7 linked regions of the Xenopus tropicalis genome follow. The protein of the gene in region 7 interacts with the protein of the main gene of each other region in a biochemical or structural test. Links are inferred from orthologs where the notes say so. Each region holds a gene or a part of one and is shown on either strand. Other genes may lie near its edges. The genes, in order: fyn, mark1, dyrk1a, gsk3a, camk2a, lck and mapt.

What was found.
Region 1: of the proteins of mapt (region 7) and fyn, one has a biochemical effect on the other in vitro, tested with the Homo sapiens proteins (10 studies listed by BioGRID and IntAct, with this or other methods). The link is inferred for Xenopus tropicalis from reciprocal best matches to the Homo sapiens genes MAPT and FYN.
Region 2: of the proteins of mapt (region 7) and mark1, one has a biochemical effect on the other in vitro, tested with the Homo sapiens proteins (4 studies listed by BioGRID). The link is inferred for Xenopus tropicalis from reciprocal best matches to the Homo sapiens genes MAPT and MARK1.
Region 3: of the proteins of mapt (region 7) and dyrk1a, one has a biochemical effect on the other in vitro, tested with the Homo sapiens proteins (2 studies listed by BioGRID). The link is inferred for Xenopus tropicalis from reciprocal best matches to the Homo sapiens genes MAPT and DYRK1A.
Region 4: of the proteins of mapt (region 7) and gsk3a, one has a biochemical effect on the other in vitro, tested with the Homo sapiens proteins (4 studies listed by BioGRID and IntAct). The link is inferred for Xenopus tropicalis from reciprocal best matches to the Homo sapiens genes MAPT and GSK3A.
Region 5: of the proteins of mapt (region 7) and camk2a, one has a biochemical effect on the other in vitro, tested with the Homo sapiens proteins (2 studies listed by BioGRID). The link is inferred for Xenopus tropicalis from reciprocal best matches to the Homo sapiens genes MAPT and CAMK2A.
Region 6: the proteins of mapt (region 7) and lck form a complex in vitro, tested with the Homo sapiens proteins (2 studies listed by BioGRID, with this or other methods). The link is inferred for Xenopus tropicalis from reciprocal best matches to the Homo sapiens genes MAPT and LCK.

What each region holds. Positions count from the first base shown.
Region 1 is NC_030681.2:76,827,943-76,831,442, forward strand, and holds part of fyn (tyrosine-protein kinase Fyn), read left to right. Parts: intron 1-1,217; coding exon 1,218-1,294; intron 1,295-1,452; coding exon 1,453-1,606; intron 1,607-3,500. UniProt on the Homo sapiens protein: Non-receptor tyrosine-protein kinase that plays a role in many biological processes including regulation of cell growth and survival, cell adhesion, integrin-mediated signaling, cytoskeletal remodeling, cell motility, immune response and axon guidance.
Region 2 is NC_030681.2:10,521,341-10,525,531, reverse strand, and holds the start of mark1 (serine/threonine-protein kinase MARK1), read left to right. Parts: upstream 1-1,391; 5' UTR 1,392-1,795; coding exon 1,796-1,846; intron 1,847-3,426; exon of another isoform or gene 3,427-3,505; intron 3,506-4,191. UniProt on the Homo sapiens protein: Serine/threonine-protein kinase. Involved in cell polarity and microtubule dynamics regulation. Phosphorylates DCX, MAP2 and MAP4. Phosphorylates the microtubule-associated protein MAPT/TAU.
Region 3 is NC_030678.2:12,501,150-12,504,649, forward strand, and holds part of dyrk1a (dual specificity tyrosine-phosphorylation-regulated kinase 1A), read right to left. Parts: coding exon 3,432-3,500; intron 3,356-3,431; coding exon 3,209-3,355; intron 1,540-3,208; coding exon 1,399-1,539; intron 465-1,398; coding exon 158-464; intron 1-157. UniProt on the Homo sapiens protein: Dual-specificity kinase which possesses both serine/threonine and tyrosine kinase activities. Exhibits a substrate preference for proline at position P+1 and arginine at position P-3.
Region 4 is NC_030683.2:107,331,719-107,335,218, reverse strand, and holds part of gsk3a (glycogen synthase kinase-3 alpha), read left to right. Parts: coding exon 1-119; intron 120-2,195; coding exon 2,196-2,279; intron 2,280-2,622; coding exon 2,623-2,733; intron 2,734-2,956; coding exon 2,957-3,087; intron 3,088-3,191; coding exon 3,192-3,298; intron 3,299-3,500. UniProt on the Homo sapiens protein: Constitutively active protein kinase that acts as a negative regulator in the hormonal control of glucose homeostasis, Wnt signaling and regulation of transcription factors and microtubules, by phosphorylating and inactivating glycogen synthase (GYS1 or GYS2), CTNNB1/beta-catenin, APC and AXIN1.
Region 5 is NC_030679.2:21,001,538-21,005,037, forward strand, and holds part of camk2a (calcium/calmodulin-dependent protein kinase type II subunit alpha), read left to right. Parts: intron 1-1,182; coding exon 1,183-1,255; intron 1,256-2,071; coding exon 2,072-2,174; intron 2,175-2,554; coding exon 2,555-2,638; intron 2,639-3,470; coding exon 3,471-3,500. UniProt on the Homo sapiens protein: Calcium/calmodulin-dependent protein kinase that functions autonomously after Ca(2+)/calmodulin-binding and autophosphorylation, and is involved in various processes, such as synaptic plasticity, neurotransmitter release and long-term potentiation.
Region 6 is NC_030678.2:86,451,373-86,454,672, reverse strand, and holds the end of lck (tyrosine-protein kinase Lck), read left to right. Parts: intron 1-56; coding exon 57-188; intron 189-1,519; coding exon 1,520-1,722; 3' UTR 1,723-2,800; downstream 2,801-3,300. UniProt on the Homo sapiens protein: Non-receptor tyrosine-protein kinase that plays an essential role in the selection and maturation of developing T-cells in the thymus and in the function of mature T-cells. Plays a key role in T-cell antigen receptor (TCR)-linked signal transduction pathways.
Region 7 is NC_030686.2:17,244,518-17,248,017, forward strand, and holds part of mapt (microtubule-associated protein tau), read left to right. Parts: intron 1-1,041; coding exon 1,042-1,125; intron 1,126-2,990; coding exon 2,991-3,041; intron 3,042-3,500. UniProt on the Homo sapiens protein: Promotes microtubule assembly and stability, and might be involved in the establishment and maintenance of neuronal polarity.

The sequences.
Region 1 (3,500 bases), on a different chromosome or scaffold from region 7:
CTGACATGCATAGGGGTATTAATGTGGGTTTCATTGCTCTCTTTGTGACGGGGAAGATGCATATCATCTACAAGTGCAGATGCATGCCTTGCAATATCTGGAAGTGCTTGACTAGCAGAAGTCTTCACTGTGCATGGCCTTCCTTTAGTGTAAATAGCCATTACACTGCATTACAGAAGTGTATATTTTCTGGTTGCTGCTGTTGGAATAGGCTCTCTTCTGCTAGTATTTACAAGACACATTCTGGTTCATGTAATGGATGGAACTATATAATAAGCGTTTAGGAGTAAGACCCACAGTGATGTATTTTTCTTCTGCATGCCAAGTGAGCCCTGCTCCTACAGCAGACACCTCAGGCACGTACGGTAAAGGGTTCTTTACCTGAGCATTTGGTGCGGAAGAGTAGTATGGGTAGTGTCACTTCATACCTGAACAGGATGCAGCAGATATCAGCTGCCTATCTGCACTAAAGGATGAGATTTTTGCTTGACAATATTATACCTTAAAGGAAAACTATACCCCAAAACAATGTAGATCTGTATAAAAATATACTTCTTAAAAAGATCATATATAAAACCCTGCTTCATCTAAATAAACATTTTCATAAAAATATACTTTTTAACCCCCCTTCCCTCCCCCCAACCCCCTATGCGACCCCAACTTTACTCTTTCTATCTTCCCCCCACATGTTTTATATGTAACCTACCTTGTTGTAAAACAAAAATTAAAAATAAAGTTTTAAAAAATAAATAAAAATATATATACTTTTTTAGTAGTATGTGCTGTTGGGTTATCCTAAATAGAAAATTGCCATTTTAAGAATGAAGGGCCGCCTCCTGGGATCATAGGATTCACAGTGCACACAAACAAGCCAAGGCACACTTACATGCTAGGCCCCATCAGCCAATTAATGGACAGAGTTCTGCCTTTTGCCTCCACACTTCCTCCTGTTACAGTGAGAGCTGCATTATTTCCGGTCATGTGATCTCTGAGGGAGCACACAGCCCATCACTAAATGGTGGATCAAGGGAAAGCATGTAAAAGGGCAATATTTACTGATATATATACATATATAGATATATACACAAGCCTTGGGGCTCCCCAAAGACAAATTCAGCTGTTGTTAGGGATATTCTTATATATCCTATTAATACATCTGGAATTTCTAATTTAAAAAAGTAATAAAGTTGGTTAATTTGAATATTGTTCTAATGCAGGTAGTTTACTAGATTTCCTAAAGGATGGAGAAGGAAGAGCCTTGAAGTTGCCAAATTTAGTAGACATGGCTGCCCAGGTACAGTAAAGTTTCATTATTAATTAAGGTCATCATTACTCAAACTGCAGTCTAAGCTTCATTAATCAACTCCATATTATTGAATTTATTTTTATTATTGCCTTTTTTTACTTACTGTTGCAAATTTATTTACTAATGTTTTCTATTTTTACTGACAGGTTGCTGCTGGCATGGCTTATATTGAGAGAATGAATTATATACACAGAGATTTGAGATCTGCAAATATTTTGGTTGGAAATGGCCTTATTTGCAAAATTGCTGATTTTGGCCTTGCTAGATTGATTGAAGACAATGAGTACACTGCAAGGCAAGGTATGAAAGCCATGATGATGTGCTTTTAAAGAATGGTAACAGGAACTTGGAAAGCAGTATGTAGATTCATTATCAATATGTATTACATATAAAAGCAATCGTACATAGAGTGATTTCAGGCACTTTGGTGCTGCCAGTAGCTTAGTCGTTGGCATATAATCATCCCCCCCCCCCAGTGCTTGTGTAAACAATTGTCAGGTAGCTGTCTCTTGTAAAATTGTCAATCTGCAAGATGCAAGACATTGCCCAAGCTTAATTGGCTTCCTTTAAAAACACACAAATAACACTTCCATGTTTTTTGAATGTAGTGGGAAGCTGTTGTAGCTTTCTATAATACATTACATCCTCCTATTATGGAGGAACTCAAAGATAAGGCTTGTCATAACTAGTAAGGTCATTTCTATACTGTACATCAGACCTACAGTCCAAACCAAGCACCATTCCTGCAGTCCACATTTTGGTTCCTGCCTGCACCATTGCTGTTTGGTTTCTGAATCGGGGCTGTTTAAAGGAGAAGGAAAGGCTAATAAAGTGTTAATTTCAAGCTGCAGGCATACTTTCAGTTCTCTCAATAGTGCCCTTAAGTCTCCCCATATTTTGCCTATTCAGCCTCATAGGAAAAAAGAACCCTGAGCTTTGTAAAAAAATTCCCATATTGCCACGCTCCTGCACCAAGACCATGACCTCTGTACATGCGTAGTTTGTAAGACTATGAGGAAGCTTCCTGCTGATTGGCTCAGATCCACATTCCTAAGGGCGGGGGGGGGGGGTTGTTAGCATTCTTATGGGAGAGAGGAGAGAGCTGTGCAGACTCTGGCACAGAAAAAAGTAGACAAGAAATCGTGTATTTCTTTTGATAGACAACTCAGTGCATTAAGTGCTATTTACATAGACCATTCTGATAAAGCTTACTTAGTTATTACCTTTTCTTCTCCTTTAAAGGAACAGTAACACCAAAAAATGAAAGTGTATAAAAGTAATTACAATATTATGTACTGTTGCCCTGCATTGCTACAGCTGGTGTGTTTGCCTCAGAAAGACTACTATAGTATATATAAGTAAGCTGCTGTGTAGCCATGGGGGCAGCCATTCAAGCTGGAAAAAAGGAGAAAAGGCACAGGTTACATAGCAGATAACTAGTAGATAAGCCCCATATAATGGGGGTTTATCTGTTATCTGCTAAGTAACCTGTGCCTTTTCTCCTTTGAATGGCTGCCCCCATGGCTACACAGCAGCTTACTTATATAAACTATAGTAGTCTTTCTGAGGCAAACACACCAGTTGTAGCAATGCAGGGCAACAGTACATAATATTGTAATTACTTTTATACACTTTCATTTTTTGGTGTTACTGTTCCTTTAAGGCTCTGGGCAAAGATCTTGTTGAATAGCAAAAAAATTGACCATGCCTACTTTGTGGCCACAACTTTAAAAACTATACCTATTTCACCAAAACATATCCCAGAAATGGATAATGAGCATATTAACCCCATCTGTTCCAGTTTAATCACTGTGTAGAAATGACCAATGAGCACTCCACACACGCCAGCAAGATCAGTAGATACAGTGCAAGCATTACATGCACTTGCTCAAGCAGAATACCAATAGCAAAGTTTTCTTCTTTTCTTGTGCTCCCACGCTGCTTGGCTTTCTCTCTCTGCCTGGCTTAAACACTTGTGAAAAAACCCAAGATGGCCATGCATTCCACAGTGCAATGAATTTCCTGAAGAGCAGGGAAGAACATTAACGCTGGGTGAGGAAGGCAGCAGCATAGGGGGGTAAAGCTGAGAAGGAGGGAAAAAAAGACATAGTGGCAAAAATATAACAGCTGCAAAAACATAAACATTCCAGCTGTTTAAAATCTCATCATATTTCATACAGTCGACATATTCTAT
Region 2 (4,191 bases), on a different chromosome or scaffold from region 7:
GCTTATCTGCCCCTGTATGTGGATCCCCGATGGGCCTGCCAGACCAATATCTAGCCTAAAATTGACCAGATGTTGATCAGGCAGGTTTGATTTTCCCATTGGATCGGGGGCTGCATCGGCTTAGTGATGCAGTCCTTGCACTGATGGGTCCTATTCCCATCATAGTAATTCGACCATTTGGCCCGGGGGCCAAAGATCAAATTACTCTGATATTGCCCACCTTAGTTGGGCAAATCGGTGGAACGATCCCCTCCTTGGGTGACCTTGCCAAACAAGCCGATCCTATGGTTTAAGGCCACCGTAACCCAAAAATTATCCATGTAATCTGCCCATGACCTCCCAAAGTCAGGAGGGTTATCTTACCTGCAACCCAGGGATGCTTCTGTAATAAGCAAAGGTGAGAGCCAGAAATTCAGTTGTTTAATCAGAGAGCACAATTGCCCTCTCTGGTGCTAGAAACCCCCCCTAGATCCAGCAACGGGGAGGTCTGCATAGGGGATGGGTTGGGAAACACTGTGTCTGATTAGGTAGTAGCAGAAGGTCCAGTGGCAGTGCCAAAGCTAAGGGGTGCCCTAAGCAAGCCCATACCCCCAGTCACCCCACCTCAGTTAGGTATCTGTAGGGTAGTGGGTTAACGAGTGGGAGCAGCGATGTAGTGTGTGGGGCCCCACTGTCTGGAAGTCAAAATAGGCCCTGTCATTCCAAGTACACAGAGGCCCAAACAGCCCAATAGTGACTGTCTATGGCATCTTACAGCAGCCCCTCTGGCATTTGCCTAAACCCACAGATTGACAATCCGGGCCTGGCTGAACTAGGGATAGGCTGTATGTACCTACCCGCAGCCCAGTCTGTTGCACCCTATGCACATAGGCTTTGCAGGCATTTTGTGGGTACCCGACCAGACTTTAAGAGGTATAAAAAATATAATTATTACAGTGATCACAAAGCACTATGTTAATTCTTACCCCCAGAGGCGCCCTTTGACCACCCCCAGGGGCGTAATGGGAGTTGGAGTCCCTTAATAGCTGAGCACAGGGGGCTACACAACAATCTCCCTGTATTAGTGTTGGTGAAATCCTGTTCCCTACAATAAGTACAGGTTGCGGTTGGTCAGTTATTTTCCCTTCAGACCTTGGGAGAAATTATATTACTGTACCTTGCAGCCATAGGCTCTAATGCACCTCTACAACTCCCAGCACCCTTTGATCTCAGCACCCACCCCGCCCTGGGAAGATACACTCAGTAAATTATCTGTCCAAGGACGAGGAATAATGGGAATTAAACGTGTGCTAACTACAACTCCCAGAATCCCCACTCAGCAGCTGTCTCCTCTCCCCCACCCCCCCTGACAATGTGTCAGTTAATCCCACCCATTCCCTGGGATGATCCCAGTGGAAGCGGCAGTCCCCCAGCCGGCCTGAGGGGGGCAGTAGCAGGAGGAAGGGTTCGGGGTTGGCAGAGCCTAAGAGAGAGACCTGCTCCCACCATCCCTCTTCACTGGATTACTGGGACAGCACCTGCGGCTGGGAATGAGCCTAAAGGCGGCCAGGGGGTCCCCAAGCACCCCGCTTTGAGGCGGAGTAGGAAGAAGGATGCTGCTGCCGTCGCTGTGATTTGTCACACTACCATGCAGGCTGAGGGGCGCCCTGTGTGACCATCCCTGTCATTCCCACCATCTCTCTTTCCCACTCGGTTATCGCTATTACTGCACTGAACCCGCGGAGGGGGGAGAGGCCGGAAGGAAAGCCCGGGCAGGAGGGACTCGTCTCTCTCTGTATCTTTGGAGCCGAACAAGATGTCGGCCAGGACGCCACTGCCCACAGTCAACGAGCGGGACACGGAAAATGTGAGTATCCCCCCCCAGGGGGTCACTTGGTACAGCCTTGCAGATATTTAGGGGCCGGGCGGGCCAGAACATTGTATGGGGGAAGGGGGGGGGTCACTTTGCACAGTCCTAAAAATCCAAAGGGGTCAGGCGGGCTAGACCACTGCGAGTGGACGGGGGGGATATCCGCTTCCCCTTAAAACATGTACAGGCCACTTGGTACAGCCCTGCAGATCCATAGGCACTGGGGGAAACGCACTGAGTGGGAACCCTCGCCTCCCCGGAACGCAGCGCTGTAAGGGGGGGGGGGGGGCTGGGCTGTAAACCCCCTCTGTCTATTCTCCTTGTATTGCTGTGGGGCCGCCAGGGCTGCTGGGAAATGTAGTCACAGAAATTGCTTTGAAGAGATGCTGTTAGGGTAGGGCATTTGCCAGAGCCCTTAGCTGTGCCCTTTGGGAGGGATGCCGGGGGCCTACCCTTGTGATTGCTGGAGAGCTACAGGTTGTGGATCTCTATTGTACAGTGAGCTGCCCAATGTGGATATCATAGAGACTCCAGGGTTAGTGAGCCTGTATGTACAGCAAGGGCCACATTATGCCCAGTTGGGGTATATAGCTACTGTTGGTGCCAGTGTGTCTGCTTATTTATGGCACCTTGTAACCTATTTAATTGTGCCTTACACACACTGTATCTTGCCCTGCTGTTATATCTTGTGTGCCAGGGTATAGGGGATATGGGTGCCCCCCCTCATGTCCAAACCTGCGGACCCCATTGTTGGAAGGTTTTGCTGTCACTGCTGATGGCTGTATAATGTAGCTGCATGGCTGCGCGGAAACCAGCACAGTCGGATGCAAGAAATTGAGCAAAACGTCATGCAGCTTTGTATTAAAGGCAGAAGGTGGCAGCAAGCTGGCCCTGATGGTGTGGCCCAAACTGTCGGAGAGGCTGTGCCACTGGTGTAGGAAGCCAGAGTGCGGCCGAATATTTGGGGTGGTTTTACGACTAGGGACCATGGTCTGTATGAACTAGTCCTTAAATACCCAGTACTCTGTCACAGGGACAGAAATGGCTACCAATGTCTATTGCCAACCTGCCAGCCAGAACTGAAATTCTATTCATATCATTTCTCCTATAAGAAACAGCATAGTTGCCCCCTAGAATGCTGGGGCTTCTGGGAGTTGTAGTGCAACAAGCGGGTGCAGTATTTCCTGGTAAATCACAGAGAGGACTTGTGGGAATGCCGGAATGCCAGAGCTAATTACATCCTGAGGGATAAGGACAAAAGCCCTGTTTGTTTTTCCTTATTCCCCTGCAGAGGTGGCACACTGGGCTGACTCACATACAAACACTGGCACGGGCATCACTGGGAACTGCTGCTGATCCAACCGTTACATTTAGCTCTGCCCGTGTATTCCATATAATGCAACATCCCCACGTCCTCGGCTGCAAATGTTCAGCGCCCTGCGTTTATCCTTTCCGAGGCCGCAGCTGCTTTGTGCCTGACATTAAAGGGTAAATCAACAGATACCTTGCCAGCCTAAGCTGGGGAGGAAAAAAAAAGTCCATATTCTCCACTGTATGTCCTGTTATTGTGGGCTCACCTTGCCAGTTCCAGGATTGTCACCGTGTCACGTTTGGCAGAGGAAGGAAATACTTACGCACCGTTTGCCAGAGGTTCTCTAATCTGGTCTCGCAGGAATGCGATTGAGCCTTAATTAAACTCTTCCTACCCACACTTGTTTTTTTTTAATTAACCCATTTAATGCGCTGGAAAGAGGATGATGACGAGCTGTGCAAGGTGGAGGAATGTTGCCATTTAAATGCTCGGTGCCCCAAACCCCGTATCTATTTTACTACCTACCTTTATGGGGTTTTGGTTCAGAATACGGGAAGTCATCGGTTTGCTTCAGGGCATAATCATATCTAACCGGATCCCCTTTAGCTGCCATTGGATTTAGGATAAAATAACCTGTTGAATTTATTAAAGGGGCTTTGGGGTGCTGTTGGATTTACTCCGGTCATTGGATTTGGACACTGGTAGATAATCAAAATTGCAGCCATGGAGCACTTGTGCCTGTGGGGTTTGCTGTGCTTGGCACCTTGCTGTTGGTAATAGGGGTGCATGGGACATTTTGACTGCTGGGTGGAAATTAGCAGCTTTCATCCATTTATCAATGGTTCCCATGTAGGAAACGCGTTCGATTTTATTTAGTTATCCTATAAGGGTGAGTAGGTGGTGTAATATTGCACCCACATCAATAAAGAACCTGCGCCATAGGCTGTTCCTTTAGCTGGGTGTTAAATCTGACCCAAGGCAGGGTAAGTACAAGGATCTGCCTTCTCCTAATGGTTCTCCCTAGCTTGCC
Region 3 (3,500 bases), on a different chromosome or scaffold from region 7:
CTTTAGATTTATAGAGACTTTGTGGAAGGAAATAACAGCATTTAGCAACACAAATTAAACCATACTAAATGAGCGTTAGTAACCTTAAGAATGCACAGTAAGGAGTTTCCTGAGGTGTGGGTGCTACATTTGGGTGCTAGAGAACAAATCCTCATACCCGAGCTAGAAGATGTGCTAGAGGTGGTTCCTGATGACTGGGACTGCTCCATTGCTGGACTCGTTGATACACTGTTACTCGTGTTTGTACCTTCGTCAGCAGTTTTCTTAAAGAAACTATGTTGCAGAGCATAATAGGGTTGGATACGGGTCTTGGCATCATAATCCAACATCCTTAAAATGAGGTCTTTAAACTTCAAGTAGTCCGCTACAGTATGACCTGATTCCCCGCCTCGGCGGCCACCTGGTCCTCCAGTTTCTACTCCAAGTAGGTTGTGAAGTTTTCGGGTTCCCGGTGGTTTGTACTCCTAGAGTAATAACACAGACTCCCGTTAACAACTTGCTGGCACTGGATATACAGGCACAACAGTATTTGTCTATAAACAAAATAAACAAGCAAATAACTATGGGTTGGTTTAAAAATGGTGGTGCAATGTGATAGGGACCTTAGACTGTAAGCTCCTCTGGGGCAGGGACAGATGGGAATGTGATAGGGACCTTAGATTGTAAGCTCCACTGGGGCAGGGACTGATGGGAATGTGATAGGGACCTTAGATTGTAAGCTCCACTGGGGCAGGGACTGATGGGAATGTGATAGGGACCTTAGATTGTAAGCTCCACTGGGGCAGGGACTGATAGGAATGTGATAGGGACCTTAGATTGTAAGCTCCACTGGGGCAGGGACTGATGGGAATGTGATAGGGACCTTAGATTGTAAGCTCCACTGGGGCAGGGACTGATAGGAATGTGATAGGGACCTTAGATTGTAAGCTCACTGGGGCAGGGACTGATGGGAATGTGATAGGGGCCTTAGATTGTAAGCTCACTGGGGCAGGGACTGATGGGAATGTGATAGGGGCCTTAGATTGTAAGCTCACTGGGGCAGGGACTGATGGGAATGTGATAGGGGCCTTAGATTGTAAGCTCACTGGGGCAGGGACTGATGGGAATGTGATAGGAACCTTAGATTGTAAGCTCACTGGGGCAGGGACTGATGGGAATGTGATAGGGACCTTAGCTTGTAAGTTCCACTGGGGCAGGGACTGATGGGAACTGAGTGCTAAGCTGTATACATATAATACAACCCAGTGTATCTAGTGACAGTTTTATACATGTATATTGACTATACAGAAAGAGCAGGGACTGCACTGTATAACCAAATGTGCCTTTTGGGCTTAAACCTCATTAGAAACATGCAAAGCCGTTGATTCCTTTTCCATTCCATAGAATTTAGCAAATTACCTTTTTTCCATCTTTGGTCTTCTTTAAGTTCCAAGTGCCTTCTGGCATCTTCTCAAAGAACTTTCTAGCTTTTGGTGCTTGGTCAAGGATGTGAGCAGGTGGTATTCCTAAAACTTCCACAATTTTACTCATTTGATCAACCTACCAAGCGACAAAAGCAAAGTCAGTCGAGGCAGAACCCACACATGATGAAGTGACCCATTACAATTATGGGGCACCATAAAACAAATATGCCATCATCAAGTTATTTATATTGGGTATCCCATATATGTGACTGTCTGTGGGAAGACCCGAATAGGGCACAGAATTGCAAACTGTGGGGAGGACTAAACTTGGGAGGCAGTAGCCTTATAGGTGGCCATAAAGGCCCAGATTTAGTGGGGACTATTCTAAGCATACTGTAAGCATCTAAACTCATTTGGCTTTTAAAGGAAAACTAAAGCTTAAATAAAGAAGGAAATATTGTACATTATGTTTGGGGGGTTGTGTACCAGCCCCAGGCCCCCACAGCCCTTTAGCAGGGAAGATCTTTGCTCCTTAAGATTGCCCCAGTAGCCCCCCATCTCCTTTTCTGCCGATTCCCTGCCCATACTCTGTGCTGCTGGCACTTACCTGAGCTTAGGGGCCCACTCACTATATACTGTATATATAGAATATAAATGTCACAGTATAACCTGAGCTTAGGGGCCCACTCACTATATACTGTATATATACACTATAAATGTCACAGTATAACCTGAGCTTAGGGGCCCACTCACTATATACTGTATATATAGAATATAAATGTCACAGTATAACCTGAGCTTAGGGGCCCACTCACTATATACTGTATATATACACTATAAATGTCACAGTATAACCTGAGCTTAGGGGCCCACTCACTATATACTGTATATATACAATATAAATGTCACAGTATAACCTGAGCTTAGGGGCCCACTCACTATATACTGTATATATACAATATAAATGTCACAGTATAACCTGAGCTTAGGGACCCACTCACTATATACTGTATATATAGAATATAAATGTCACAGTATAACCTGAGCTTAGGGGCCCACTCACTATATACTGTATATATAGAATATAAATATCACAGTATAACCTGAGCTTAGGGGCCCACTCACTATATACTGTATATACCAAGTATAAATGTCACAATATAAGGCTGATTAGTAATTAATACAGATAATTACTACATGGCAGCTCAGAAACCAGTGCAGCTAGCGTGAGAATGTAATAATCACTGCTGAGCCACTGAGTTTTTCCCCTGCTGGTTGGTACTAAATCAGCCGCTCTAGAGCCAAAATTCGGATTTCCTGAATTGAAATTTCAGCTCTTCTGGTGCAGAGAGTGCTATTGTGCTGTCTGCACTAGCAACGCGGCCCCCTCCAGCGCAAAAAAACTAAATTCAGAGTGGCAAGGTGGGGGGCATTCCCTAGGCCACCTCAGGGAAGTAAGTAATATGTAGCACACCACCTATGGGTGGGCGATATCGGGGGAATTTAGGCTAATTCAATCGTTTGGCCCTGGGGCCAGCTCAATGCCGGACTCTGGGCGCTCCACCCCAACCCTGGATCGTGGGCAAAAGTAAATGGAACGTGACACAGCACACAGGGGTGGGGGGTGCACGCAGTGGGTGGGTATAGGCATGCAGACTTTGCAACTGGGTGAGGGGCCAGTGAGGTGGCAGCCCTTGTCTCAGACACCCCATTCCATAAGTGAGCATGACAGCATAAAAGTGATCTACCAATTTAAATCCATGGCGCATTACAAAAGGAAAATAAAAGTGTTGCTACTGCCTTACCTCATTGGCTCCACTGAAGAGGGGCTCCCCAGTGTGCATTTCTACCAAAATGCAGCCAAGGGACCACATGTCAATTGCAAGGTCATAAGGCATTCCTAGTAAAACCTCAGGAGACCGGTAGAAGCGACTCTGAATATACTGGTATATCTAGGGACAAGAAACAAGGTATAAGCCGATTGGCTTCCGTGGCCTCGGTTTCGTGGGAACAAGAGCCAATCCTTACCCTCTGCCCTAGCTGGCACGAGCTTCCAAAGTCCACAATCTTAATGGCGCTTCGTTTTGGGTTACAAAG
Region 4 (3,500 bases), on a different chromosome or scaffold from region 7:
CTTATACAGACATCAAAGTCATTGGTAATGGCTCCTTCGGGGTGGTATACCAGGCTCGGCTGGTGGGCTGTGGAGAAATGGTGGCTATCAAGAAAGTTCTACAGGATAAGAGGTTCAAGGTAAGAAGATGGAAAATTTGGTTACTGTGTGAGAATGACATGTTAGCTTGTAGTGATATTTTGAAAACCTGAAATAAGGTTCATATTGCATTGCTCTCATCTTTTTCCACCTAGGCCCTTGGGCCAATGATCAGATCATAATGAGGGCCTAGGCACATTGTTAGAAAGAGGCCTTGTTAAAGGGGCCAGAAGCTTATAGCAGCTCATACATGGGTACATACTCTGTACCAGTAACCAGATGCTCAATCACTTTGTGTCCCAAAGCCCTAGGGCAGGAATCCCCATCCAGTGGCTCACAAGCAACATGTTGCTCACCAACCCCATGGCTGTTGCTCCCAGTGGCCTCAAAGCAGGTGCTTATTTTTGAAATCCTGACTTGGAGGCAAGTTTTGGTTGTATACAAACTAGGTGTAATGCCAAACAGAGTCTCCTGTAGGCTGCCAGTCCAAAGAGGGGCTACCAAATAGCCAATCACAGCCCCCAACTCTCTTTATATTTGAATGTGGCTGACGGGTAAAAAAGGTTGAGAATCCCTGCTCTAGGGCACGTGAGGAGACATTTGCTTCCTTTCTTTGTCATTTAGTCCATTCTGGCTAGGAACCCATCTTATTTTTACCAGTATGGAGAGTGCTGGTGTAATCCGATAAATGTGGTAAGTCATTACATAAGCCAGTCTGATAACCATATTCAGTTTTTCCCACTGTTTGTGCAGCAGTTTTCAGCATTTAGTGCTTTTGATATCTCGGTACCCCTTGAGTGCACTGACACTAAACAGCAGTACAAAACCATACATTTAAAGTGCCAAACATAAGTTTGTTCTCTATGTCCAATAACGGTTCCAAAGAGTAAGCCAACCCCAATAAGCCATTTTTTTTTTAATTGTAAATGTATATTTGTTTTTAAAATCAAGAACCATTTAGGAAAAGGTAAAATCACTCTATTAAATAAATTCATGCAAAATTAAAACTCAAAGCATTATAACAAGGAGAGAATTATACATCTCACTTGATGTTTCCATGAAACAAATATAAGGTGTACATAGAGGATTGTGGCCTGGGGCTGTTCAGCTTCTGGGGGTTATCAGGCTGGCCTGCTCTTGTGCAAGTCATGAGAAATGAGCTGAGTCAAATAAGTGACTACATAGTCTAGTTAAATGTTAACTTTCCTCTTAGTTACAGACTTGGCAATTACGGGGCTTAGTTGTCTGTAGGGAAAAGTTAAAATTGCTCAAGGCCTGGGCAGCCATTTAACAGGCAGGGACATGAAACAAGTGGAGGATATGTGCTGAGCCATTATGGCGAATAGAATACAGGGCTTAAGTCACTGTGCCTGAAAATAAACATGCTCATTGTGTGTTATTTAGGTATAATGTGTAATTAAAAAGTGTATTAGGCTCGCAGATTAAGAAAATCCAATGCGATTCCATTGGCAAAAAAAAACAGAATCTGATCCATGCATCTGAGTAGAATGGAGCACTTTGGCTTTTCTCCATTTGCGTAGAAAACGAAGGCACGGCCATGTGCGCCATTAGCCTTAGTAGTGAAGTGTCTGTTTTGACTTCATGCATGTTTATTATATATGGGTGCCTCCATGGTAAGTACGGCAGTATCGGTAAGCTCCAACTCATTGCTGGCTGCCTTCAGCAGAATGACTGACTTAATCTGTAAATGCACAAAAGCTTGGATCAGGGAGAGCGAGAAAGGGATTAGTACTGGCACTTGCAGGGTTAAGCATTTTTCTTTGGAAACTTTTGTCTGCCTGCCTGTATATGAAACTATTTGGGTACCACATGTAATAAACACTCTAAAAATACACACTCTAAACGGGGGAGTGAGACTTTCTTTCTTCCAACAATGCCTGGATAGAATACAGACAATAGCAGTATCTGTTGGATAAATCCTTTTCAAGGTTAAGTTTTTTTTTTTTTTTTATAAAATAACCCTATTTTTGCTCACTGTCTGAATATCTATTCAGCACAAGGCCAGTGCAATTGTTCCTGTTTAATAGGGGCTAGGTTGAATTGCTTATCCTCTGTAAGTCATGTCCTCCAATTAAAATGTCCCTTTCTTCCTACAGAACCGGGAGCTGCAGATCATGCGCAGGCTGGATCACTGTAACATTGTGCGCCTGAGATATTTCTTCTACTCCAGTGGGGAGAAGGTCTGACTTTTCTTGTATTCCCTGCAGACAGTCTGTACAGCTGATTCTGTTCATGTACTTGGACATAACCCTTTAGTTAACCCCTTCTTTCTGCCAATGTAGGTAGCTAATGGATTTGTGGCTTTCCAAGTCACAGATAACAGAAGGAAAACCATTACTTCTTTAAACATAAGAATAAATCTTTATTTGTGCTTGATTAAATGCTCCTCTGTTATAGAACAACAGATCAAATCAGCACAACTGTACACTGATGGGCATTGTTTCTTTTGGGTTCTTTAACCGTACACTAGATTCTGTTTAAACTTTGACTCTTTGTAACTGTGAGCTTCATCCTTTTATTTAGAAAGACGAGGTTTACCTAAACCTGGTCCTGGATTTTGTCCCGGAGACTGTCTATCGTGTAGCTCGTCACTTTGCAAAAGCCAAAACCTCATTACCGTCCATTTATGTGAAGGTGAGAAAACCAATAAAGATCCTCCACTAGAAAAATGCTATCTGGGAATGCTGGGCTATGTAGAATAAGTTGCCCTAGAGCCTCTTCTTTGCTACTGAATCAGAAGTAAACGTGGGAGCAAGAAATAAGTAAAGCAAGCTGGGTTTCCCATGCCAGTGTTTCTGTAAATAAGTAAATGCCATTTTTATGCCTGCTGATGAGCTTCTTTCCACTTACCATTTAGGTATACATGTATCAGCTGTTCCGCAGCTTGGCTTATATCCATTCTCAGGGTGTCTGTCACAGAGACATTAAACCACAGAACTTGCTGGTAGATCCAGACACTGCTGTACTTAAGCTTTGTGACTTTGGCAGGTGAGTGCCATGCGTTTTTGTGTTTTGTTTTTTTCTCTTGCCCTTCTGTATATCTAAGCCTGCTGCTGTACGTTTGGATATAAACCATTCTTTCTCACTTTCAGTGCAAAGCAGCTTGTTCGTGGGGAGCCAAATGTGTCCTATATATGTTCGAGGTATTACAGAGCCCCAGAGCTCATTTTTGGAGCCACAGACTACACTGCAAATATTGGTGAGCTATCTAATATTGTCATTTGCTATTTAAAGCTATAATATATTTTAAGTGGTTTTAGTAATATTGACAATTTAACTATAGCCCTGTGCACAACCCATTTTTCTACTTGGCCTATATGTAGCTGACCACAGGTCTAAATTACTACATGTGCCCTCCCTAATAGAACTAGGGGTTCTCTTTGTAATTGCAGTTTATAATT
Region 5 (3,500 bases), on a different chromosome or scaffold from region 7:
ATATATATATATATCAGTAAATATTGCCCTTTTACATTCTTTCCCTTGAACCACCATTTAGTGATGGGCTGTGGGCTCTCTCGGAGATCACCTGACAGGAAATCATGCAGGTGTAACAGGAAGTAGTGTGGGAGTAAAAGACAGTCTATTAATTGGCTGATGTGACATAACGAGTATGTGTGCCCTTGGTTTATTTGTGTACACCGTGGGGCCAGCCTTTAGTATTTAAAATGGTAATTTTGGCTTACCCAAAGGAACTTGCTACTAAAAAATATATTTTTATAAACGTGGTTTATTTAGGTGAAGCAGAGTTTTACATTTGAGCTGCTTTATGCAATATATTTTTATAGAGAACTACTGGGTATGTTTGAGGGTATAGTTTTCCTTTAACAAGACAGAAGGCTGTTTTGGGTGCAAAATGCACACTATGCAGGTTACAAGCATACAAATGATGCCTCAGGCTGCAGATTACAGGACCAATTCTCATTTTATCTGGAAATGATTAAACCTACAGAGTAACTAAGCCAATCCTGGGGATTACTTTTTGTTTTTAAATGGCACAGGTCTGGACTGGGATTCGAAACAGATCCTGGCATTCAATTACACATAGACCCAATTGGTCAAATAAATAGTAACTGTCTATGGCATCTTAACAGCAGCCCCTCTGGCATTTGCCAGAATCCCCAGACTGCCAGTCCTGGCCTAGATTGGCAGCATTCACTACAATGACAGGGATTGGTTATCTTTGTAGACAATGTGAAATAACGTAAATCCCAATGGTTATGAAACCTGTGTTTCTGGGTAACCACTGAGCAGATATGCCAATTTTCCAATATTGCCCAATATGGTAAGACATCGGTAACTCCACCGAGGAAATGTAATAAAAGGCTCTAAGTTTCTGATTACATGTGTAAAAAAAAATCTTATTAGTTTCTATGGGTGACAGCACTTGGGCCTTTTATTATATATGGGGGGGGGGGGGGTACTGGTTTAGTATAGAAAAGTCAGGGCAAATGGCCATATGTGCTATTAGTGTTCATTAATGTGCAGTATTTTTCTTTTATTAATTAACCAAGGCCAAAGCCTCTAGCGGAGTATAGTATGAAACCTCTGGGACTGCCAAATAGTCTATTAACGTAATGAGAGCAATGTAATGTCCTGTTTTTGCTTTCTTTTTTGCAGCCATTGCATTCAGCAGATTCTAGAAGCAGTTTTGCATTGTCACCAGATGGGGGTAGTGCACAGAGATCTGAAGGTGAGGGTAGCGGCAGTATGAATCCAGCAGTTGCCTCTATACAGACACCCTTGTGTACATGTTTGCCTGCATCATTCTCTGGGTCTTTCCAGTTTTCCTCATTGGTCACACACCCCATACTCCAGTTTTCTTTCATCATGTTTCCCCTACACATTCTGCATACTGAGAGCATATTCCATTTCCCTGGTTGTATGATGTTTCTACATGTACTATATTGCAATAATGTAATAAAATTATTCCCTTGGTTCTTTCATCAGGGTGTTTCTACACCAATATCTACAACATGGTGTATGTGCAACTGCAGTAAAGAGCCATCACACACTCTGTTCTTTCATCACAGTCTTCCTTTTTAAATACCATACATACCAATTCATTCTGTTTTTTTACCCAAAGTGCAATTTTATACCAAGACTGTCCTTGGCTTCCCTCTGCCATAGCACTAAGGTGCACCTACATTGATCTTTTATCATGATGACTGCTGCACCTGCCATAATCAGGCCAAGCTACTTGAAAGCAGATTGTGTTTTTTGCCCATTCCCTCCTCAGTCCTTCAGAAAACAAAATAACCTACCACAACCCCAAGCTCAAAATGTTCTCTAAGCCGCCTGACCCTTGGACCTATGTCCTATGCACATCTCTATTCTAGGTGGCAGTTGGTAACTAGAATTCTCCAATTCTCTCCATTCTTCCCTCCATTCACCATGATATAAAAAAGTTGGTAGAACAGCAACAAACTCTTGCTGCAGTTTGCTATTTTATCTGTTTTAGAAAATTACACATTGTTTTAATTGTTTTCCTTTGTTTTCCCTTGCACAGCCAGAGAACCTTCTTTTGGCTTCAAAACTAAAGGGAGCAGCTGTCAAACTGGCAGATTTTGGGCTGGCCATTGAGGTGGAAGGCGAACAACAGGCTTGGTTTGGTAAGTGAAGTACAGAGCTAACCTTTGCTATTTTCTGTAAGGCCCACTGTTTATTGTGATATTATTGTAAAGCTCTACAAAATGTGCTGTCAATATATGCTGATGATAATAATGATATCCTTGCCCACCCAGACTATTACTACCAAGGAACAATTTAATGCTCAGTTCTCTTGCGAGATCCCTAGTACAAACCCGCAAAGTTCAAATGAAGGGTGATAGGATGGGGTCATTACAGATAATAAAATAAATACTACAAATATCTGTTATTAAATAGTACTTTATCAGTTATTTGTATTTTGTAAATTTTTGCCCTAAAAACCCTATCGAGGGGTCATGGCAGCATCATGGTTTGGAGACTGACATGTATCTGGTTCTCACAGGCTTTGCAGGAACGCCCGGCTATCTCTCCCCAGAAGTTCTAAGGAAAGACCCCTATGGAAAGGCTGTGGATCTCTGGGCCTGTGGTAAAGATTTTAACCCTTCCTGTTAAAAATGTCTACTGAACAAATGATTCTTTTTTTAACATTCCTAAGCAGAAACAATTTCTAAGTTAGTCTAAAAGATTCTTTTATTCATCAGAATGCAAACTCACAACCAACCTACTATTTCTTTTTAAAGACAATTATAGTTCTAAATAACTTGACCACATGCATTAAATTCAGTGCAGCTGACCATAAAGAATTGTTGATGAGGTTTAGAGGGTATAGATCACTTCTTATTCAATGCAGCTGATGCAAGACTTTTTAAAATTACAGTGGAACCACCAGGGGACCAGAAAAGATGGTGTAAAATCCAGGAAAAATTTAAAGCAGGAAAATGCATTATATATTGGTGGGACCACAAATAATAATGTAAAACGAGAGAAAATTTAAAATCAGAGTATGTAAAATTGAGGTTTTATTTTAGGTCACCTGCAGTACCAATGTATTCAGAGGTAACTCAGTTACATGGACTGCAATGAAGCAGTGCCAATGTGTAATAATGATATGTCGGGTGTATAGCTGTAAGGGGTGCCAGTCATCACTTTGACCATGCAGTACTTTTAGCCTGTTGGCCAGTCACTCACGTTCTGTTGCTGGTGCTGCATTCCATTGCTGCGGAACCATAAAGATCTTAGTTAAATTGCTATTATATATTCATAGATGATTCTGGCCCCCGGTAACCTGCAGGGACCTGCCACCTGAGGCAAGTTTCTCAATCCTATTTTATAAATGTGGGAGCAGTTATACGCATATAGTTTAAGGGTAAAGCAATATTTGAATACTGACAAATTTATTCTCTCTAAATCTTGGCTAGGGGTTATCCTGTACATTTTACTTGTTGGTT
Region 6 (3,300 bases), on a different chromosome or scaffold from region 7:
TTGCTGAAGAATGTTAGTTAGTTACTGTTACATAATACCCAAACGTTTCTTCACAGGAGCCAAATTTCCTATAAAATGGACAGCTCCTGAAGCCATTAATTATGGCACTTTCACCATCAAATCAGATGTGTGGTCATTTGGTGTACTGCTAACTGAAATTGTCACTTATGGAAGAATTCCATACCCAGGTGAGTAAAGTAGTAGGCCAGGTTTTCTGAAGGTAAGAATGTAGAAGAGCAATGTGGATAGTTTTTGCATAATATAATTTTCTCTTTCATATATTGTGATATTGTAACCTTTTAAGCTACAAAAATAGCCCTGATTTGTTGTAGCTATAAATAAAATACAATTTACAGACAAAGATTGTGTTATTCTCTCATAATTCTCATTATTTTTATGATTCTCATAATTTTATGAGATTTTAATTTGCTGTTTGACCAGAACATTTCCACAGCACATTTGTAGATATATATTTTGGAAGGGTAAGTGCCCAGAGTTTTTATTCTATCTATGAGCGGATAACGGCAGACAGCAATATTTTCATAGATAATAGCCCTACATCTATAAAGGCATGTCCAGCTCCTAAGACATGGGCCAATACCAAAGAATGAACCATAAAATTACAAATTATTTGTGCAAACATAAAATATTGATAAGGGTAGTCACTCTATTTGCCAAATGATGTCAAAAGGCAAGGTAGGTGCCACATTGAGGTAATTATGCATACACAGCTTATTAGGTCTCATTAAAACACCTTGGGGCTCAATTATCCACACTGGGCAAATGTGTGTAACTGTGTAGTAACCCATGGCAACCAAATTTTTGTTTTCACATTTCTACTTCAATGCAACTCAAAAAAGATAATCACTCATTGGTTGCTATAAGGTGCTATCAACATAAACAAAAATCTTCAGCACACCCCTTACATACATGTTCTCAAAGGGTGCTTAACTTCCACAGCCGCTCCCAAGCCTTTTTTCCATGTATCTTTGCAAAGGGGAAGAAGCACCTGAAGAAGGGGTCACCCACGAAAGCTTGTGCGGTTTGTTCATTTCTGCAAATAAATGATTTAAACGCATTGCCGACACACTGGAGTGCTTCTTTGCTTTGCAAAGATACATGCTATAAGAATTCTGAAAGATGTAGACAGTGGTATTATTTAACATTTTATTTAGCAGATCTCCAGTTTAAAACTGAAACTCTTATCTGGTTACTTACCCAAGTTACTAGGTAGTTGTGACAGATAAATAATAAATAAATAAAAACAGCTGATGAATGAGAAAAATATATGATCAAAGAATCAAATATCAACCCAGAGGATTAGTGACCAGTGAGCATTTAAAATGTTAGACTGGAAAGAAGTAGAACAGAAAGACTATATAAATAAATACAAACTAAAGACCAGTTGCAATTATCCTAGAATGTCAATGTCTACATTATACTATAAGTTAATTTTAAGGTTGTTTTTTAAGTCAGTAATTAGTCAGTATGCCCCAGTAACTGTTCTTTCTTGTGCCAGGCATGACTAATCCAGAGGTTATAGAAAATCTGGAACGAGGTTATCGTATGCCTCAGCCAGACAACTGTCCTATGGAATTGTATGAGCTGATGCTTCGTTGTTGGAAGGAGGAACCTGAGGAAAGGCCCACGTTTGAATTTCTACGATCCTTGCTTGAAGATTTCTTCACAGCTACAGAGGGCCCATATCAGTCTCAGCCATAAGAAGTGTGCTCTGATAAAGCATGTCAGAAAACAAACTGATACCAGCTTTATGGGTCATATAAAACCCAGCATCAAATTAACCTTAAGTAGGGAGAAACCAAGGACCCCCCAAAATAGTTCTGAGCTGGTACTGTCTGATGAGATGGCACCTTAGTACAACTCTGGATTTGGGACCTACAGCTATAATTTCTGTAGATCAAAGAAAAATTATGCCCACTGTGCCCTCTAAAAACAGAAGGTGATTTTAGGAATCACTTCATGTTCAGAAAACTGCACACTTAAGTTTAGGTATGAATAATTGATATCTCAGATATTTGTATCAAGTGTCAAACCACATTGGGGCCTTTACCACACATGACACTGACCCAGACTTTTAGAGGAATAGCTTAGGGCAAATATATTCAGCCATTCATACCGCACAACAATTAGTTGGAGGTCTCCTTCATCAGGTGAGTATAATTGTCAGAACCCCCATGATTACATCACATGCAGGGTCATGAATACATTCCTGCCCACAACTGGGAAGATATCACAACCTGCTCAGATAATAGAAAAGCACTTGAAATAACAATATCATCCCCATCAACAATTCACAAGAATAGTTTAATATAAGAAGGTGTCTATATTAAAGGAGTATTAAAGCCTAACTAAAGATACAGGCTATAAATGTTGTACATTATGTTTGGGCTTCTGTACCAGCCCAAAGCAACAAAAGCCCTTTAGCAGAGAAGATCTATTCCTCCATAGATACCCCATGTAGCTTCTCAACTTATTTTCTGCTGATTCGTTGCGCATGCTCTGTGCTGTGGTCAGTTACAGAGCTTAGGGATCGACTCACAACATACTGTAAATATAGTATATAAATGTCCCAATACATGGCTGATCAGTAACTGATGCAGATTCACATAACATGGCAGTCTAGAAACCAGTTTATTCTGCATCAGAACTTATAATCAGCCCTGTAGCATCACACGCTATAACAGACAAACCTCATGTTCTTCTTGTCAATTTGCAACAATCCCTAAGCTTAGCTTTTCAACAGCTGCCCAGAGCACACGAAGAGGTATATTTATCATGCTGTGTAAAAAGTGGAGTGAAGCATTACCAGTGATGCTGCCCAGGGCAACCAATCAGCAATTAGATTTCAACAGTTAGAAAACCAAAGCAAACATCTGATTGGCTACTATGAGCAACATCACCGGTGATGCTGTACTCCACTTCTTACACAGCATGATAAATATACTTCTAAGCATGTGCAGTGTCACTGACACTTCTAACAGATTCCAGTACGGGGACCCTCTGGAACAACCTTGAAGGCCTTGCTCATTACGACTATAGAGATGCTGAACCTTTAGGCTGGTTCAATAAGCCCAGTGTATAAAATATGGCATTTCTAGCAATACAACTTTTAGGGTTTAGTTATTCTTTAATAATTTTATTCAAATACTCACCTATTCATTTGTCAGTCTGTCAATGAAAACATTGCCTGATAGGCCCTAGTAATCAAAACAGATTTTAAACAAAAGAAACACCCACACACACAAAGAAGACAAATTGCAAATTTCCTGACACTGTCTA
Region 7 (3,500 bases):
ACCAGGCACAAAAACCAATGTTTTTTTGCCCATAATGTACTAGTATAGGGTGCAGAGATTAACAACATTAATTTGCAGGTAATTATGAATAATATATGGTGCTGGTTTCACTTTGGGCTAAAAATGAATCCGATCTGTAATAATGGCCCCTTTATTGGAGCTCCCTATAGATCCTATCCTGTCTGTCCCTGTTTCAAATGTAGAGTGGGCGTGTCCTAACAGTCCCTGCCAAAAGCACAGCGGGAGGGGGATAGCCAATCACAGCCCTGCAGTCACACAAGCAAAGACAGGCTTCATTTCCCTATCAGGTCAGCCTAGCTACTGATTGGTTCCTATGCTACAGTGCAGGGTACTGAGGGACGCCGGCTCCCCTACACATCTAGACAATTCAGCCAGCAGGAAGTGGAACAGATGGGTGGGACTAGTGGGGTTTTGGTGGAATTTCTCAGTCATAAACACAACTTTTTAAGCACAATCCTTCTATACTTAGAGGAGTATAATTCACTGGTATTTTCTTAATTTTTATATGATATGTCTACTATGTGGTTTCAATATAGTGTGTGTCTCTAACCTTCATATAAGCTGAGGGGTGCCTACAAAGGGGAGCTTAAACCCAGAATGTTGGGAAAAGCTTTATATTAATGTTTTAATAAATTGTGTGTTGGTAAGTATAAGCAGAAACCTCTCCCCTATTATAGCCCTCAAGCTTCTGCTCCATAAGGTAAAGAAAGGCTCTGGCAACAACTTCTGTAAAATGAAATTGTGGTTATATTGGTTTTTAGATATGGTAAGGTATATAAGGTAAGACTTACAGCAAATAACAAGAAATGTGGGTATAACACTTCACTAAATGGCTAAAATTCAGCAAATGGATAAATATTGTTAGTGAGTAGTTGCACATACCAAGTCCATGGCAAGTCACCTTGTATGTGTGATATTGTTCTAGAACCCCATGTTTCTGTGTTGAGAGAGAGAGAGAACAAGAGAGTCTGTTTTAGCACAAATCATTTATAAGTGGTCTCCTTTATTACCCTCTCTTAGATGCGGCCTCGGTGCAAGAGGATCTAGCGAATGGGGAAGCAGTGAGAAGCCAGGGCCATGCAGGGATCCCTGAGGGAACAACTGGTAAGGCAACAAAGCTGGACTTTCATATTTTTAAATTTTAAAATTGGCTGAATATCAAATACACTACAAAAGCTTTGACTGAATCAAATATATATATATTCAGATTTGAGAAAAATCCCATAAAAATGCATCATGGGAGAAGAAACTTCTCTTTCAGCTGTCCAGAGCTTTAAAGTCACATGAATTTGGATTTGGGCTGGGCTGAACTTCATCTGAATCCTGCAAAAAGTGATACATTTCCTGAAGAAACCTACACTTTTTAAGGCATCCCCCAGTGATTCTAACTTTTTTAAAGATTTCAAAGATGTGCCAAACCTGAACTCATGCAGAGCGTACCTGGGAGCCTAGGGCAAGAAATTGCAAGAAATTAAGGAGGTTAGCAGTTAGAGTCACTGAGCTGCCTCACATTTTGGCCCCAATGTTTCTTTCTTCTTTGAGCCTCTGTAAAACATGATCAGATCAACATATGTGTTTCGAATTATGAATGTATATTGCTATGGGAGTAGATATGTAGATATAAGGGTTTCTAAAGCAACATGAACATAGAGGTTCTTAAGGAGATTTGATTGTACGCAGCAGAACTACAAGAGTACAAGCTGCAACGTTACAGAGTCAGGTTGGACAGTGTTAAAGATCATAGCAACTTGTGCATTTAATAAGGGGACTTAATATAGTACTTGCATTAAAGATAGAAAGCAACAGCCTCAAACAACCAGTATCTGTATTATCTGGGCTTTTCTAAGCTAAAGTATAAAGCTAGGCTGCCAATGGGATACTGCTTGTGGGAAAGGCCAGTTAGTGATGAGCGCTATAGTATGTATAGTATACGCTTTTTCCTTACTGTCCATACTTCTTTGTCAGGTTTTTAAACATGTCGGTCAGCTATCTTATAACAGTCTAAATGTTCAGCCGAACTGAACCTGAACCCTTAAAGTAATTTTACTTTAAAGCTCTGAACAACTTATTTTTCTAATTTTTTTTTCTCAAATTTGAAAATGCAAATCATGGCTTGAGCAGTATACAGGCGATCCAAAAATGATGTGCATTCTTATTAATATAGAATAGTAATCAACCAGTGATAATCAATGTATTATAAGAATTATTATGAACAATTAATAAGTTACCAATACTTTTTATTCTATATTATTATCAACAAATGGATTGATTTGATACTAATAAAAGCATATGTATCATTCTTCCCCAATTACAGTCTCTAATGGTCACTATTCATGATAAAACTCACCCACTAGACAACTTTGTTGGGTCATTGCACATAACACCACTCACCAGGTGGCAATAGAAATTGGCATTCATTTTGGCACAGCAAGTGTTTCAATGTCAGCCATTGATAGAGCTCACAGAGTCTGGATTTAATAGTGGGTGGATACTCTGCAATTAGTAGAAGTGCTCCCAGTTTATCAAACAGCAATTGTTTTTAAAAAGTAAATTTTTGGCAGAAAAGTGCAGAATAGATTCCCACGTATTTCAGATCCCAAATGGATTGTAGGTTCCTTGAGAAACAGTCTGGATAACTGTCATGCTTTAAGTTTCTGGATGGAGACTGAAGTATGTCACTGGGGACTATGGGCATATGGAAATAGGTGAGATGCCTGTTCTACACCCACTTTTACTGTTTATTGTACAACCAAGTCTAAAAACCGCCACCTGTTGCCCTTATTGCATGCCAAAGGAATCACTTTACAGAAGTTGTAGCTGTTGTTGTAACACCCATCATTCCCAACTTCTGTCAGGTGATCCCTGTGGTGCACAATAAACATGGCAACCGTTAGTTGCCATTGTATTTACAGCACAGATGAAAACATAATGCGCACATATAAATGTCCCTTTATATGTCTGTCCTACAGCAGAGGAAGCTGGCGTTGGGCATACCCCCAGTCAACAGGACCGTGCCGCAGGTAATGCAGGTGCTAGTTAGAACTATGTAAGCCATGAAAACTCTTTCCTACTATATCTTCTCCAATCCTCGTGATGTTGCAAGGTGATAATATGGCAAAAAGCAGGTTCATTAGGCTTAGTCTTTGTACAAGTACAGACACTCAGAGACACAAATACACTATAATTGATATGACACAACAATGCAGGTTTCCCAGAAGGTGTCTTCTTATAGTAGGTCTGGAGGATACACCTGTTAGTACAGATCCAGATGTCTGAGGTGTGCAATTATCCTTACCTTATTACCCATTACTGCACCCTTTGTTAATAGACAGAACTATAGACAGAGTTCTAAATACCCTCAGGTAAACTGCCAGAGTTTATTGCCCTGTCTTTCCAGTTCTGCTGGAGTAGCAAACAATCCAGGAAAGGCAAACATAGTAATGGTTCCTGCTAAATAGGACAGGGACATAGATCATGTT